Linked DNA regions of Arabidopsis thaliana. Each later gene encodes a partner of the first gene's protein in a complex. Each region holds a gene or a part of one and is shown on either strand. Other genes may lie near its edges.

Region 1 (3,941 bases):
CATGAGCTTATCACAATGTTGTTGAAGTACATAAAACAAAGAATTGATTTATTTATAATCGAGTAAGATAAATTTTAAACCACACAAGTAACATGGTTACACATAATTGTATCAAAATATCATATATTGTTGTTATATGTATTTTTGATAGTGAACAAATATTAACATCTTATAAATAGCTTTATACATGAAAATTAGAAATTGATATTTCGAGTTACAAATGAATCTAACCATAAAAATTGTAAATAATATGGATCTAATTTCATTAACAATACAAAAATAAACATAAATTAGCAAAACTAACAATCAATCTAAATATTTTTTAACAATTTTCAAAACAAACCCACGCGTAGCGTGGGTACTCATCTAGTATCATAGTAAAAACTGGTATGGAACTTACGAATAGTTTGCACAATATTAAAGAAAGTGTCAGAGATACGTTAAAGCATTTTCTTGTAGAGAGACTAGGGATTAGGAGTGGAGCTGGTTTGTCACTTGATGTTCCAACTCGATAGAACTCGAAGGTGTGTTTAGCTCCTCGGACTCTTCCACAATACTGGAACACTATATTGTTGTGTTTGGACCAGGGGATGAAGTTAGCGTGTGGCATACGTCAACCTCAAATTGTATGGTTTATCCACCATTGTATGAACTAATGATGGGTATGGAAACTCGTTGGGTCCATACGAGGTACTTAGATCTTAAAAAAACATATAGTGAAGAACAGAAACCTAACACTACAAGATGAGAATCTAGGTTTTATGGTACTAAAGAAAAATAAGAGAATGAACAATCAATATTATACACATTGTACCCCGTTCATTCATCAATTTTATAAAACAGTTTACATCAAAAGTCATGATTATAACGAGATCACAATCCATTATCTTATCGTGTGGCGATATCATCTTTCTCAATGGTGAAATCCCATACATCACCATATTTGTCATTAAAGTCCCAAATGCTCATTGTGTTGTAGTCATTAATGAGCTTGTCACGAGCTCCTCTCTCCAATTTGTATATCTGAGGCTCGAAGTTGTGTGGCTGGTCAGGTTTATCCATCTCTATTATACAGAACACTACCGTGAATAACGCTGCACCTATGAACAAGTACTCACCCTGCAACACACACACACAAACACTGGTGATTCTTTTTCTTCTCATACTTGGCTTAATTATCTAATCTCTTGTACGTCCTCCACAAAACAAAAGCGATAAAACTAGTAATGATAAATTTTGGAAGCAAGCAAAAGATTTTGAAGTTACCGGAGCATCAAAATACATCCCAAGAGCTATAGCAGGAAGAAACATACAAGAGATCAAACCTGCAGACATAAAAAAACCGCGAGTTTTCAATCAATCTGCGGTACATAAAAAGCACTAAAAAGCGGGTTAAATTCATACCTTGAAACCCATTAGTTTGATCCACAGCAGCAATGTCATCAGCAATTGCTCCCCAAAATGTTCCTAAGAAACATTTCCAAGAAGACTAATCAATCAATCAAACAAAGAAATATTATAGCTCTAAAATCGAAACAGCGACAAGAATCAATAGGAGAAACCAAAATTATACCCTTTTGAACTTCTCCTTCATAGTAAGTATGAGCTCCATCGTAATATCCATACTTGAAATCTTCCTATTAACAAAAGCGCTAACCAATCAGAAACAACTTTCAGCAGAATTATGAATTTAAAATCAATTGAATCTTTACCATTTCAATGCTATTAGTCTCGAATTGACCAATCGGGTCTTCGTTGATGTCTGGTTCGATCTGTGACAATCCAGCCGCTGAGACCAGCTTCGCTAACTTCAATCTCCGGCCGGATTTGCCGCATTTTACGACATTGACGATCTGATCAGAAACCCTAGCTCCGAATTTGGAATCAGTGACCTTTGGAATCGATTTGGGTGAGAGAATCGTGACCGTTGCCATTTTTTCACTCACTTTATCTTTTTCTTGCTCTGTCTCAGAGTTTTGGAGCCATAGAAAGAAAAAACGGTTCTTTTTTTTTTTGTGTGTTCGTTAGCGAAAGAGATTAGTAGTTTACTGGTTACTGTCTGTCATATTACCAAAGTGACTGACAAGTTCGTAAGCGTCACGTGGAACGTATTCATTTGATTGTCTTCTCTAGTTGGTTAGTGAACGCTTACATCGCGTGAAGACTATTGAAACGGCCCAACTTTGTCTTTGCTGAAATCAACAATATATATTAAGCCCAATTTGATTTACGTGACAATTGCTTAATTATTAAATTCAACCCAATATTTTCCTATATCCAGTTAAATGTAAAATTCAGTTCAGGTTAAACATCATAATACTTTGCATATTTTTAATAAGGAAAAAGCAAAACAAAAAAATAATGTATTAGCCGATTTATCGAATGCCTAAACAAGAAAGATCAATAACATTCTATGGACCAATTTGTTGAATCGTACAAAATGGTTTTGTTTGTCTAGACGCCTAAACAACCTGTTTTTAGAACTTTGTAAAGGATCTATGTAGTTGGCTTTGCTATGTTCGAATTAGTAACAAGGTCAAGGCACTTCATTGATTTAGGAGACAATGACATAAGAATCATAAAGAAATGATTCCCAACTGCAACTAATAAAGGCTGGAGTGGTTGGAGAGTAGGGTAAATTAAATGCTTTGCTCTTTCTTTGATTAATGGTTACCAATATCATGTCATGTTCTAGGGTAAAATTATTATAAACCAATTTCTCTATCATTTTACTAATGAATAGAATATCAATTTATCTCAACTACTTAGAATCAAATCTCACCCAAATTTAAACGCAACAAATATAAATTAAGATTTGGGGTTTAGGTGGATGGATTGCTACGAAGTACAAACATTTTTGATGTGGAAACTAGAATAACAAATAAAAGTCGGCCAAATTTTCAACGACAAATACATTAATGTTTTAATTTATGGACTATTGCGGTTAGGTACTTGTTATCCACTTATCTTCTTAATTCATCGAAGATATTAGCTTAATGATTTGTAATCCATGTGACATGCACTTACACATGTAGTGTTTATTGAATTATTATTATTTTTTTGTTGAAAGGTTTAGTGTCTAATGAAATGCAAATATATATTTGATTCCGATAGTTGAAATCAACACTAGTTAAGCTCCTTTTTTCTTCAATATTATCTATAGAAAATATGTACCATAATTTGCTTGAAGAATTTGAGATATCTTACCGATATAACTAAAGGTGCAGAGAGATTAAAAATCATAATTCATTTTGGAAATATTTTTTTTCTAAAGAACTCATTTTGGAACACACTTTTCTACCAACTACGAAAAAAAATTCAAACTGGTTTTGTTTATTTAAGATTTAAGAATGACTTGAAAAGGTAGAATTTGTAAAACCAATGAAGAAGAAAGAATTGTGGAGTGGTAGAGAATGGTTTCTTCAAACTTCTAAGAATAATTGTTGAACGTAATTGCTTCGTTTGGTAGGAATTTTCTTAGCAATTAGAATCAGTTCTATGTTATATAACAAACATATATTTTTGCATTACTTACCACACAAACTCTCCCCAAATTGTGTGTTGACACATACCAAATGATGATATAAATACAAAACTTATCACGCACGCGTTAAAGATTCACACGCATGTTATTGACTTGTGAAAATCTCACAAGTAGTTAGTACACATGAAACGATAGTTTAGTTTTGGGTTATGAACTTATGATATGAGTTAATGGCATCATTTTTTTTTTTTTTTTTTTAACACGAACTTCATTTTTATTACTTAGGAAACGTAGTCTGAAAACAGAGCATTTGAGATACACAATGGGATAAAGCTATGAACTATGTATGAAGACAGAGCATGTTTCTGGTTTTTCGCTAAAATATCAGCAGGTTGATTTGTTGATCTGTGTGACCACGTGAACTTGATTGCGTCAAACTTATTTCTCCAAACTTTGA
Region 2 (4,117 bases), 6.0 Mb from region 1:
TCATTGAGCCTAAATTCCTTGACAATTTCCCCAAAATTACTCAAAGACTTCGTCGTCCTGCTGTTGCTCTTGTTTCCACCAATGGCACCTGGATCACGTTAGAACCCTAATCCCAATCTCTCTCTTTTCAAAATTACGTTCCTCACTCCCTCCTTATCTAACGCATTTGTGTTTTGCAATTTGTTGTTTTATGGCAGGTTTATGAAGTTAAGATTGGATCGTGTTCTGTATGATTCCTTTGAAGCTACCTCTCTTGATGAAGCTTTGGCCTCCAATCCTACCACTCTTGAGTTCGATAAGCCTAAAAATTGGGTGGCGCCATACCCCAAGTATGAACCTGGATGGTGGGATACCTTCTTGCCTAAAGTAACCCAAGAATCTGCAGTATAGAACTTTGCTTTTTGTCTTGTTTTTGCATTCTCCAATCTCAGCTTTGTCTTAGTGCTTCAAAGTTTTGTACTACTGAGCTCATTATCCAAGTCTATATCTTTCCTAGTGTAGCTTCTATTACTCAAAGTTGCCTGTTTGATACGTCACTGACTCAAGGTTAAGCATAGAACTAGACAACAAAAAGCATCCTCACATTTAGCTCCATCAAAGTCTTAAGGGTGACCATATTTGTTGATTTCTCACGAGAATATTGGCAAGAACCTTCAGTTAAAGCTCTAGGTATTAAGTTGTCTAGTCACAGGAGGGCAATATGCCTACTCGCTGAAGAACTTTGCAAAAGATCTGAATTTTTTGGTTTTCAAAACGATTTGTGGACTCGGAACATGTTGTTACTCGTTAGGTCTAGTGACTGGAGTTGATCAAAGTAAGTTGCACATGTTTCTGCTGAATCAAGTGTTCTATGTTGTACTTCTGGATTGCTCTGTAGTCTGTATCTAAGCGTGTCCTATCAATCTTACTGATTATACATACTTTTATTTGTGACAAAGCAGAGTCAGAAATTATCTTTAACTACTCCATGGGAATATACTACCAAGTTACAAATACAGATTTTAACTTTTACTATGGGATGAGTATTGCTACACTTGCGGGAGATGCATTCATGAAAAACTATACACTGGTAGCTCCACTTGTGCCATTAAGTTACTCTTGTGCAGCTAGATTTGCAATTTCTGCTAGAGGCTTCCACACGAACTTTCTCCTGCAGGGGAATTGGTAATGGTCATGCAAATTGCAAACATAGATGATTAGTGTGTATGGTAAGGAATGATATACTCACCAGTTGCCACATTCAGCAATAACCCTGACGTTAGGACGAAGAGAGGGAAGTAAAGCGAGAAATTGAAGCTCCGATTTTGAGAGGACCTGAGTGAAATGGAAATATGAGAAAGAGCATGTGGGAGAACAGATCAAATGAGAGAAACTCAAACCTTTGCTTCGAGGACCCATACAACAAGACCCTTGGCACTAGGGGGAAGAGCAGCGAGCCTGTAATCAACTTCTGGTGGATAATACCATCTTGCTATAGGTTGTTTCCCAAGATGAGCCTAAAAGAAGAGAAGATACATGGTTCACACAAAATTATATTGAAACAAGATTAAAGTAGAAGATGGATGAAAGTAGACATACAGGGCAAACAGGGTAGTTCTTGAGAAGGGTAGTCTCAGGGTCACCAAGGCCACGAGCAGAGATGTCAAGAAAGTAGTAGCCCTGCATTTTGAGACGGTTAAGATAACGACCTTCGTAACCACCCTCATGAGGAGCGTAAATGGCGATTGCCTTGTGTTCTTCCACGTCTTGAAGCCATTGTCCGATGTCCGGCTTCACCAAGTCACCTCCGATGTAGTCAGCTATGCTGCTACATTTCACACCAGTGCTTCTTCTTCTCTTACTCCTAGTATTCACCAAAAAGGAACCAACTGTTTTGATCTTCTTCACTTGCGAGGCTTCAAAACACGGTGGTGCCACACGTTGTATACATATTGCACGGCTTCCCATTTCTTTACTAACAATGACTTCTTGTGGAAGTAGCTCATAATAAACATTGCTTGACGACGATGATGATGAAAGAATGGTGGAGAAACGACGACTCACTCCACAAAGGGATAGACATTAATGGGCTTAAAATGTATTGGGCTTTATTTATTAGGCCCATTAAGCACCGCCGAACGTCGTGACATTGTTAGCTAGCTCGCCGGAGCAAAATTCAGTCTGTGAAACTTTCGGAGAAGAAGGGATGTCGAGAGGATCTCGATTCGTTAGGGCTCCTGGGCTCTTACTCTGTCGCGTTAATCTTCAACCTCAACCCAAAATCCCATCTTTTTCCTACAGTCTTCGCTCTGATTATCGTCTTCATAATGGTTTCTCCAATTACATCAGACGTAACTCAATTCGAACATCTCCGGTTATCAATGCCTTCCTCTCAGATAACTCACCATCCCCGTCACCATCACCATCCCCAATTCGTTTTGTTCAACGGAGTTCAATGCTTAATGGTCGTCTCTTCTCGACTTCTACTCCCAATCCAGACCAAACCACCACCAAGACTAAGGAAATCAAGACAACCTCGTCGGATTCAGACTCAGCTATGGCTGACATGAAGATTCTCCGTACGCTTGCTGGCTATTTGTGGATGAGAGACAATCCAGAATTCCGTTTCAGGGTCATCGCTGCTTTGGGTTTTCTCGTGGGTGCTAAGGTCTTGAATGTCCAAGTCCCTTTCCTCTTCAAATTAGCTGTTGATTGGCTTGCTTCAGCTACCGGTACTGGAGCCTCACTTACCACCTTCGCTGCTACAAACCCAACTCTTCTTACTGTTTTTGCTACTCCTGCTGCTGTTCTCATTGGATACGGGATTGCTCGGACGGGTTCTTCTGCTTTTAATGGTAACTCTCAATAGCTCTAGTTTTCTTTAAAAAAGAATGCACTTTTCACTCTTGGTTGTTACTTTTCATCATCGCAGAACTTCGTACTGCTGTGTTCTCTAAGGTAGCTCTCCGAACAATACGATCTGTTTCTAGAAAGGTATGCTGCTGCTGCTCTAAACTATCTTGTCGATAGAGATATTTTAATGTATGAATCAATTTCATATGGTCGCTTTGCAGGTGTTCTCACATTTACATGATCTTGACCTTCGTTACCACCTAAGGTATCTATCTCTCCTCTCTTACTCTTGTGAGTAGTCTCGCTCATTCCATCTTAGATTCATCTCATCATAACTTCCTTACTTAATTGCTTATGTCCAGTCGAGAAACAGGCGGCTTGAACAGGATTATTGATCGTGGTAGCCGTGCAATAAATTTTATCCTCTCAGCTATGGTTTTCAATGTTGTTCCTACCATATTGGAGGTAAAGCTTGTCTGACCACTTGGTGCTTTCTCATGATCATTGTTTTTTTTCTCATTTTGAATAATTGGCAGTTGCTCATTCATATTTGGATTTCACTATTCATTCGTCTCTAAAAACACTCGACGTAATTAATATGTATCTTTCAGATATCTATGGTATCAGGTATACTGGCATACAAGTTTGGAGCTGCTTTTGCCTGGATTACTTCTCTCTCCGTTGGATCATATATCGTTTTCACATTAGCTGTGACACAGGTACTGTGCCTTTTTCGGTATTCTCTTTTCAATGCCAACTATAATGCAATACTTGCGTTATTATCATGATAATCCAGCAATAACTGTGATATTTTATTTAAGAAACTACTATAGTATACATTGTTCTGGAATTCGTTACTAAGCTTCTCTAATCTTAACTGTATCAACTCTTTGGATCGGCTTAAATCATTCTAGTTGTGATATTAGGTTTGATGATGTATAGAAGGATAGTTGTCTTCATACATTCTCTTCAACTTTCATTATCTTGTTACAAATCTTTTTGGTGTCAAACGCTTTGCTCACGGTTTTATTTATTTTATCCAGTGGCGAACCAAGTTTAGAAAGGCTATGAACAAAGCTGATAATGATGCTAGCACAAGGGCCATTGATTCTCTGATAAATTATGAGGTAAATTTTTAATCTTAATCATTTTGCTTGACTTGCAGTTTTGACAGAATTTCTTTTTCGTTTCAGACTGTCAAATATTTTAACAATGAAGGTTATGAGGCTGAAAAGTATGACCAGTTCCTGAAAAGTAAGTAACTCTACTAGCTGTTTAGATGAAA
Region 3 (4,554 bases), on another chromosome or scaffold:
CTTACTTACAAAATGTGGAGGTGTGGATTGAACATTCAAGATCCACAAGGAGGCTGACGGAAACGAGATTGTCTATATAATCGTATGATAGTATAAATTTTGTGTTGAAATGTGTAATGGTGTTTTTTGGTAACCGAAAATTGAAATGTATTATTATGAAACTGTATAATGAAAAAAAATAATTATAATGGAATATGGTAAATATGTGTCATTAACAAGTCATCAATCATGTTTGGGCCAGAATTAAAATTGTACAACTATAAGAATTAATTGACACACGACAAAATACACTACATGCAGTGATGCAGATCTTTTTTTTGTTTAAATAAAAATGTTACATCATATCTCCTGTCATGTGTTCCTAACACACACACAAAAAAAAGAAATATCTGAAAATTAAACTTAAATTTGAAAAGAAAACAAAAACAATAAACCACACGTGTGGTTTACAATTACAAGCTCGAAGAGGCTTTGAAACATGGAAGCACGAAGGTTACTGACAAAGACATGACAAGCTCTCCTTCTTCACCTCTGCTAACTTATTTTTTGTTTTTAAAGATTGATTAGTTTTGGTTTTTGTCAGGTAGAATCGTGCAGAAGCGTATTTCCCGCTAATTGTTCCTCATCAGACTCACTTTCCAGTCTATACGACCAATTAATTTAGCCCCAATTGACTAAATTTTTTATACTTAAAAATAATAAATATTCACTCTGACCAACTTGCGACCGAAGAAATCAAGAAAAGCAAATTAAGATAGTTTACCAAACATAATTATTTATATTTTTAAGACATCGGATGTCGTCAACAATAAATTTCTGAAGGAGACAATTGCTCCTAACATGATCGTTCAATGATTCAGAACACAAGACAACAAAGAAGTACATAACATATATTATATATATGGAAGCTAGAGAGTATATATAATGTTGCATGACTGATATAAGAAAATATATAATGTGTATGTAAAGTGGTTTATGATTCACAAGTTAGTTTTCTACTTAGTAACAGCTTCTTCAAGCTCTCTTAAGCCACCAACCTTCTGTTCAATTTCTTCGATAAGTTCTTCACGCCATAGCTCCGCTCTTGCTTTCTCTTCTATGTCTTCTTGCTGCATCATATAACCCAAAACACAATAACAACTCTATCCAATCTTATAATAGTTGTACACATTGTGAATCTGTGATGATATACCAAAGGTCAATGGCCCGAGCAAGCCCAGCCCGACCCAACTTAGGATCAATGTTACCTACCATCAGATCTGTTAACGTTTGAATTATTATATCAAGCCCAACCCGGCTCAAACTTACTAAGCATGATTGATCTATCAATAGGATGGATCAATGTTACCTACCATCTATCAGATTGTGACTTTCGTTTAGATGATCAAGGTTGTGGATTCATATTTTTGGGTGCATATATACCAACGGTAAACGCTAACCTAAAAGCCACCTATTTTTCTTTGTTTAGGGAGGTTTATCGCATGCTGAGACACATGGAGGAGTACTCAAAACCGGCTCTGAACAGGTCTACATGGCCTACTAAGACCAAGGTGGGATAGTCTGAGGTCAAACTAGATCTGAACTGGTCCACAGGGTCTAGTAAGACCACAGCGGGTTGGTCGGTCCATTGCAACATCCCTAGTTATAATTTGTATGCATTTCTAAGTTTTTTTCTTTCTTTCCTAATAGTATTAGAAAGGGAGAGATACATACAGTTTCATAGACCCAATATCCAGTTCCATCCCCTCCATCTCCACGGTACTCCTCTGAGTCGTAGAATGGATCCTGTATTGATCCAATATCACAAAGTACTATTAAGATCCCAATGCAGCAAATGTATCAAAAGATTCAGTTTGAGTTGTTGTTTTCATACTTTTGCTGAACCGAAGTACAAACATCCCCAACAAGTGAACATGATGTAGAACATATCTGCCATATCAAGATCAATATCAAAACATAAGAAAAAGAAGAAAAAAAAGTCTAAGAAAGAAAATAAAATCTCTCAAGAAACCCCAAGTGTTTAACTTACAAACATTCTTGATAGCTTTATCACTTAGATGCCACACGTGTTTCTCTGTAATGATATCACGCATTCCTTCTATTTGTTGAACCATCACAGCCATTAATGGCAAATCATGTGGCAATGCCTTTCTTACACATAAGCTTCCTCTCATCAAATTCCTTTCCCTCTTCTCATTAACATTCTTCTAATTTTTCAAATTCTAAGACGTAAATTCACAAGAATATGGAGATTTTTTTTCTAATTTTAGTCTTAGTTAGAGAAAATTACTTACAGATAGCCAATATCCATGATTCGGTCCTGAATTCTGCTTCGGCTACAACACAATACACAATTCTTAAACTTTTTTTCGTAATGAAATATTTTTGGTAAGAATATAAAATAATATGTACCGAGTGATTGTAGGAAGAAGGAATATGAAGATTTGTGAAGGTGAAACTTGTGAAAGCTTCAGCCATTGTTACTTCTTGATGGTGGCAATGGAGAAGAAAAAAAAAAAATGTTGGTGTAATCTTTTTTATTTTTTCATTTATTTTAATCTTTAAGATTAGATTTTTTGAGGCAGAAAATGTGTGGATAAGGGAATTGGTATCGTCCACTCTTCACTTTTGTGATAAACAAAATAAAAAAATAACGTACGTTAGCAATCACATCGCATAACACTTTTTTTGTCTTTTAAAAGCCCAATTTAGACAATCACAGTACACATTTTAGCCTTCTAAAACGCTCAGGTTGGGAACAACTATTTGCCTTAAAGAGTGGTAAAGATATTTCCAGCAAAATTCAACTACAAACTTTCGTATTTTACCCGTCCAACAAACTTTCCATTCGCGCAGGTTAGCAATCACTAAACACGTTCACTCCTCTAGACGTGCAAGTTAGTAACCACACTAAAATTGCTAATAAATCTTTGGTTGGTGAAATTCAAACTTTCCGCTTATGTCTCTTCCCAAATACATCATTTGTTGAATAGCGTACGTTGGCAACTATTGCCAAACTTTTAATGATATTTCCATCTAATTCAACTTCCTATGCGCGCATGTTAGCAATCATCCCAAATACATCATTCGTTGAATAGTGTATGTTCTATTTGCCAAACTTTCAATGATGTATATCCATCTAAACCAGCTTTTATTCGCGCATGTTAGCAATCACAATAACACGTCTACTCTTCTTAGCGACTAGTATTTTGTCAAAAGTCGGAAGAAAATCTCCGGCCAAGTCAACTTCTATCGCTTTAAAAAGCGCATGTTAGCTATTAAAAAGCGCACGTTAGCATCATTTTCGGGAAATTGCTAATCAAACTTTCCACTTTCGTCTTCTTCCCGTGTATATCTTTAATCTCCTCTGTTTGGTGACTATTATCCAATTTCCACCGATCTTCTCCTCATAAAAACACCTCTTCCTCAACGAATTTTTTATCCATGAGTCGCATAATGGGATTGTTCGATCTCGAGAAACACTTCGCCTTCTACGGTGCTTACCATAGCAATCCGATCAACATTCTAATCCACATCATCTTCGTTTGGCCAATCTTCTTCTCAGTTTTACTTCTCCTCCACTCGTCGACCCCAATTTTCGACCCCTCTCAATTAGGGTTTTCTCAATCGTTGACCCTCGACGGCGTTTTGCGATTTAACGTTGGGTTTATATTCGCCTTGATTTATGCTCTGTTCTATATCGGTTTGGATAAGAAATCTGGATTTGTAGCTGCTCTTATGTGTTTCTCTTGCTGGGTTGGTTCCAGTTTTCTTGCTGTTCGACTAGGATCTTCTCTTGCCTTAAAGGTTAGATTTTTTTTCTCTAATTTCAATTTAGGGTTTTTGAAAAAACTTCATTTTTGGAGAAAATAATTGCGTAGAAGCATGTTTATGAGGGTATATGACTATGTGTATCCATGTGTTGCTCTATGTGTATATTTATATGATGTGAGTGTGGTTCATGCATTTATTGTTCATTGTTTTCTATGCTTTGACTTGAAAGTTCGTTTATATCATTGGTTATGCTCGGGGAAGAAGAAATAGATTTATTTATATCATTAGTCCTCTCTATCTGTTGTCTATGGGTCCCTTCATTAGCTGTTAACGTTGAGACAGCAGTACTAATATCATGTCTCTAGCTTTGAACATTCATGATTAGTAGTTATTGCAGTTTGTTCTGCAATTGTCCACCTTTGCACGGTTCTGATTCTTTGGTCCGGAGACTTGTCATGTTTTTAGTGTTGTTGACTCATTGGTTAAGAGGATTTGATGTGTGCTTGGACGGAAACAAGTGTTGTTCTTGACCACCAACATTTGGATGGTCTCAGATAATTAGAATCTACATCACTTGTTTAACTAAAGTTTGGTTTTTCTTCCATAGTATTTGAGACATCTGTAACTTAGGAGCTTTTTTATGTATCTTCTGTGTTGTGAATCATTTGATTAGTTTATATGTATCTTCAGTCTGAATCATTTGATTAGTTTGTTATATGTATTCAACAGCAAGGGGAAAACAGTTAATACTCACCAAGACGCCAACTCTCTCTGTTATGT
Region 4 (3,688 bases), on another chromosome or scaffold:
CCTAAACACAAAATTTCTATCTTCAATAAAAAAAGCTTCTCTAACTAGACGAATCCTAGTCTATGAAAAGGGTTTAGCTTATCTAATGGTGACAATTAATACAAATTGGAATCTAAAGAAATAGAATTTATTGGTAATTAGACAGAAAGATTAGAGATTTAGGGTTTATGAGCTTACTTGTAGTGCCATTGTAAGTGACAGTGTCGGTAGCAAAGGTGATAGTTGAGCTTTTGCGTATCTTTCTTCCTCCATTGATGAAAGCAGAGAAAGGGAGATGATGGGTTTGAGAATTCTTAGGCGGGAAAGACAGTAATTTATCAGCAGAGGAGAAAAAGATTGATGTTTCCAGTAAATTCGCCATTTTTTCTCCCTCACAAAGTTCGTCTTGGTGACGAACAACGAGAAACACCAGAGGATAAGAAGAACAGGGTTTTAATTGTAAATAATTAGTAAACGTTGACAAATTCAAAAACTTAATATAACTTTTTGGGTAAAAATGTTAAAACTAACAAGTTTTGCATCAGTTTGAAATCTTTTTAAAAAGAGGCAAGGAGTAAGGAACATGAATGAGCAAGACCAGAATTGAGTTTCTTTGACATTACATATTCACATGACCTTAAGACCTTACATTAACAAGAAAAGACAAAGAAACTTAAGATTGATTATTACAAAAATAATTATAGCATATGTCATGATATATACATATGTTACTTTGTGATAGACAAAATTAAAAAGCATACTACAATATATTTATATTCCCATTACATGATTATAAAATAGAGTTTGTTTCACTAAGCGTCCTCTTGAGGCTGACCATCTCCACCACCTTCAATGTTACTGGTATTGAATTGTACACGAGGCTTTCCCATACTGAAATTAAGAACTCTTGCATCCATATTGTATTGTATTTCTCCATCGAACAACATCTTCCTTATGTAATGTTCTACGTCCGATCCTATCAATCTCAATGTGTACTCCGTTAATGGTGCTCCCTGTTCAAAAACAATATTATAAGGTCTTCTTGAAATGAGTCTAACTTTTAGATGAATGTTTCGTTCGTTTATTGTTATCGTTACCTCGTAGTGATCGACGAGTTCTTGGAAATAAGAATAGACCTTGTTACAGCTTTCATCATCCCACACAAATTCTTCAGTAGGATCAAGAATCAAAGTGAGTTTATCCATTTGTGACTGGTCAAACTCACAAGTCTCTGGATCAATATAAGCAGCGTAGATCCTAACGTGACGTGTGACACTGCTTAGCCACTGACCACCAAAATCGCCCATACCCTTGCTCTTCACGTTCAGCTGTTTCTCCACTGGTCTCAATGGTGTTGGCTGCTTCTTCATCTTCTCTGTTGATTGCTCTTCTTTGAGTGTCTCTGTTTCTTGTACTTCAAGAGTACTGTCTTGTTCCGGATTTGTCACCACGAACGCCTTTTGTGTTGTTCTTGGTCGGATTTGAGCAACCATAGAAGGATGTAATAGAGAAAGCTTGGTGCAGGCAGTGTAAGAGAATGCTGCAACCATTTTTCTGTCTAAGAAATGAAAAAAAAAAAACAGAACAAGTTTTGAGATGTTGTCCGGTTACAGAACCATATTCTTGTAAAGAGATTTGATGAGGTTGAGAAATGACCACAGCTTGTGGATGAGCCTCTCCCAACTTCTAGTTTCTTATTTATCCCTTTCTCGTTTTGTTGGTATTTTGTGGTTACTCTTAAGTCACTTGTGAGCTAAAGACAATCTTCTTTAGGGAATTCACTGTTTTGTTGTATGTGTTTTTTTTGTCTAAGTATATTTCTTTTTGATGTATAGAGAGAAAATTTAACAGATCATTATTTTTCGCATAGCGTGAAAATAGAGTTTTACATGTATCATCTATACATTCCATGGGAATTCAAAGCATAACAGAAAACACTTGTGGGGTGAAACAGTTTAGTTCTTGTACTTCATGGTTTCTTTCTCAAACCCAATTGTTGGGAACTGCTTAGCGAATTCCTCGACTTCATGGCGCAGTTTCGCAATCTCGGATTGGATGGTTGAAGAGGATTCCATTGCTGACACGAAATCCTTCAACTTGGTTCCTGGTTTTAGAAACATAACAAATGAGTTCAATCATTGTATATAAGAACGGAAAGCATAGCATCGTGATCAGAGAAGTAAAAACCTTGAGCTTCAGATTTGACTTTGAGAGCTATTGTCACAGCTTTGTCGAAGTATTCAGCTACTTTGGCAAAGTCTTCCTCAACAAAGCCTCTGGAAGTGAGAGCAGGAGTACCTGAAAATAACAATGGCAGAGGATATCAAGAAGAACTCCATTCGAATACCAAAAAGAAAAATGGTTAAATGTGATTTTTACCCATTCTGATTCCACCAGGAACCATGGCAGAAACATCTCCAGGAACAGTGTTTTTGTTGGATGCAATGTGAACAGCTTCCAACACTTTCTCAACTCTAGATCCATCAATTCCCTGCAAACAAAATCGAATAAAAAATGAGTTTTAACTAAGAAATATAAAAGAAGATTATATACAAAAAAAGATCAAGTGACCTTGGGCTTTAGATTCACTAGAACCAGATGGTTGTCAGTTCCACCAGAAACAAGTTCATATCCTCTCTCCATTAGAGTCTGCACGAAACAACAATGTAGAGATATAATCAAAGTAGATACTACGCCATATGTGTTTTTCTTTCCTTCACGGGATTAGTACCTGAGCAAACTTTGCACTGTTACTCAGGACTTGTTCTTGGTATGCTTTGTACTCTGAAGTAGTTGCCTGCATTTTCAAACCATTTGAAGGTTACAGAAACCGCAAATCCAATAAGCAACGTTAGTTCCATTCCGTGCCTCACCGTACCTGTTTCAAAGCAACAGCTAGTCCTGTGATAGTGTGGTTGTGTGGACCACCTTGAAGACCAGGGAAGACAGCTTGGTTGATCTTGTCTTCAAAATCATACAAAACCTTTCAAGACAACAAATGAATGACGTGAAAGATTATACATAAATCTAAAACATTTTGGTTCAAATTTTGCTTCTTTTTCTTTTTTACCTCTTTCCCTTGCTTGTTAATTTCCTTAACACCCTTTCTGAAGAAAATCATGGCTCCACGGGGTCCACGAAGTGACTTGTGAGTTGTGGTGGTTACAACATCAGCATAGTCGAACGGTGAAGGGATTACATTAGCAGCAACCAAACCACTGATGTGTGCCATATCTGCTAGCATTACAGCTTTTTGCTTGTTACAGACCTGGGAAAAGAGTTCGAATCAAAACTCACTACTGATTACAATAATCTGTTCTGTAGTTGGATATGAGACTGAAATTACCTTTCTGATGCGGGCATAGTCATACAATCTAGCATAAGCACTTGCACCAGCAACAATCAATTTTGGCCTGAAAAGAGTAGCACTTTTCTCCATCTGCAAATCAAAATTAAAGACTTATGTATTGTTATGAAGCGGGTTAGTTATAAGTTACTATGATTGCTTAATAGAAGAGTTAAGAACCTGATCGTAGTCGATGTAGCCAGTGCTCTCGTCCAATCTATAGGGCATTGTTTCAAAGAAGATAGACACAGCTGATATCTTCTTGGTGTCAGTCTGATGAGAAATAAGAAGAAAGAAACTGTTATTCATCAGAGTCAGAGAGTTCCGAAATGACATACAAAGTTAACTTGAAGGCACCTGATA

The links.
Region 2: PnsB5 (region 1) and NdhN share a complex: the UniProt entries of both Arabidopsis thaliana proteins name them as parts of the chloroplast NDH complex.
Region 3: PnsB5 (region 1) and PnsB4 share a complex: the UniProt entries of both Arabidopsis thaliana proteins name them as parts of the chloroplast NDH complex.
Region 4: PnsB5 (region 1) and NdhM share a complex: the UniProt entries of both Arabidopsis thaliana proteins name them as parts of the chloroplast NDH complex.

The regions. Positions count from the first base shown.
Region 1 is NC_003076.8:17,579,212-17,583,152, forward strand, and holds PnsB5 (NAD(P)H dehydrogenase 18), read right to left. Parts: upstream 2,065-3,941; 5' UTR 1,935-2,064; coding exon 1,713-1,934; intron 1,638-1,712; coding exon 1,574-1,637; intron 1,468-1,573; coding exon 1,405-1,467; intron 1,326-1,404; coding exon 1,267-1,325; intron 1,120-1,266; coding exon 889-1,119; 3' UTR 656-888; downstream 1-655. Other genes in the region: AT5G43755 (non-LTR retrolelement reverse transcriptase-like protein), read right to left, coding at 3,766-3,941. UniProt on the Arabidopsis thaliana protein: NDH shuttles electrons from NAD(P)H:plastoquinone, via FMN and iron-sulfur (Fe-S) centers, to quinones in the photosynthetic chain and possibly in a chloroplast respiratory chain.
Region 2 is NC_003076.8:23,559,983-23,564,099, forward strand, and holds NdhN (oxidoreductases, acting on NADH or NADPH, quinone or similar compound as acceptor), read right to left. Parts: upstream 2,020-4,117; 5' UTR 1,948-2,019; coding exon 1,579-1,947; intron 1,497-1,578; coding exon 1,380-1,496; coding exon of another isoform or gene 1,374-1,379; exon of another isoform or gene 1,315-1,373; coding exon 1,229-1,314; intron 1,151-1,228; coding exon 1,093-1,150; 3' UTR 586-1,092; downstream 1-585. Other genes in the region: EMB3143 (YCF54), read left to right, coding at 1-97, 198-390; ABCB25 (ABC transporter of the mitochondrion 3), read left to right, coding at 2,186-2,834, 2,912-2,973, 3,054-3,097, 3,195-3,297, 3,444-3,551, 3,876-3,959, 4,026-4,086. UniProt on the Arabidopsis thaliana protein: NDH shuttles electrons from NAD(P)H:plastoquinone, via FMN and iron-sulfur (Fe-S) centers, to quinones in the photosynthetic chain and possibly in a chloroplast respiratory chain.
Region 3 is NC_003070.9:6,458,549-6,463,102, reverse strand, and holds PnsB4 (NDH dependent flow 6), read right to left. Parts: upstream 2,701-4,554; 5' UTR 2,479-2,700; coding exon 2,413-2,478; intron 2,337-2,412; coding exon 2,295-2,336; intron 2,260-2,294; exon of another isoform or gene 2,208-2,259; coding exon 2,030-2,207; intron 1,930-2,029; coding exon 1,874-1,929; intron 1,786-1,873; coding exon 1,714-1,785; coding exon of another isoform or gene 1,639-1,713; exon of another isoform or gene 1,260-1,638; coding exon of another isoform or gene 1,254-1,259; exon of another isoform or gene 1,110-1,253; coding exon 996-1,109; 3' UTR 759-995; downstream 1-758. Other genes in the region: AT1G18720 (ER membrane protein, putative (DUF962)), read left to right, coding at 3,445-3,807. UniProt on the Arabidopsis thaliana protein: NDH shuttles electrons from NAD(P)H:plastoquinone, via FMN and iron-sulfur (Fe-S) centers, to quinones in the photosynthetic chain and possibly in a chloroplast respiratory chain.
Region 4 is NC_003075.7:17,829,957-17,833,644, forward strand, and holds NdhM (subunit NDH-M of NAD(P)H:plastoquinone dehydrogenase complex), read right to left. Parts: upstream 1,664-3,688; 5' UTR 1,530-1,663; coding exon 1,077-1,529; intron 993-1,076; coding exon 792-992; 3' UTR 577-791; downstream 1-576. Other genes in the region: AT4G37920 (endoribonuclease E-like protein), read right to left, coding at 1-1, 178-361; SHM1 (serine transhydroxymethyltransferase 1), read right to left, coding at 1,935-2,083, 2,167-2,277, 2,359-2,470, 2,551-2,628, 2,711-2,776, 2,858-2,962, 3,050-3,247, 3,326-3,418 and 2 more. UniProt on the Arabidopsis thaliana protein: NDH shuttles electrons from NAD(P)H:plastoquinone, via FMN and iron-sulfur (Fe-S) centers, to quinones in the photosynthetic chain and possibly in a chloroplast respiratory chain.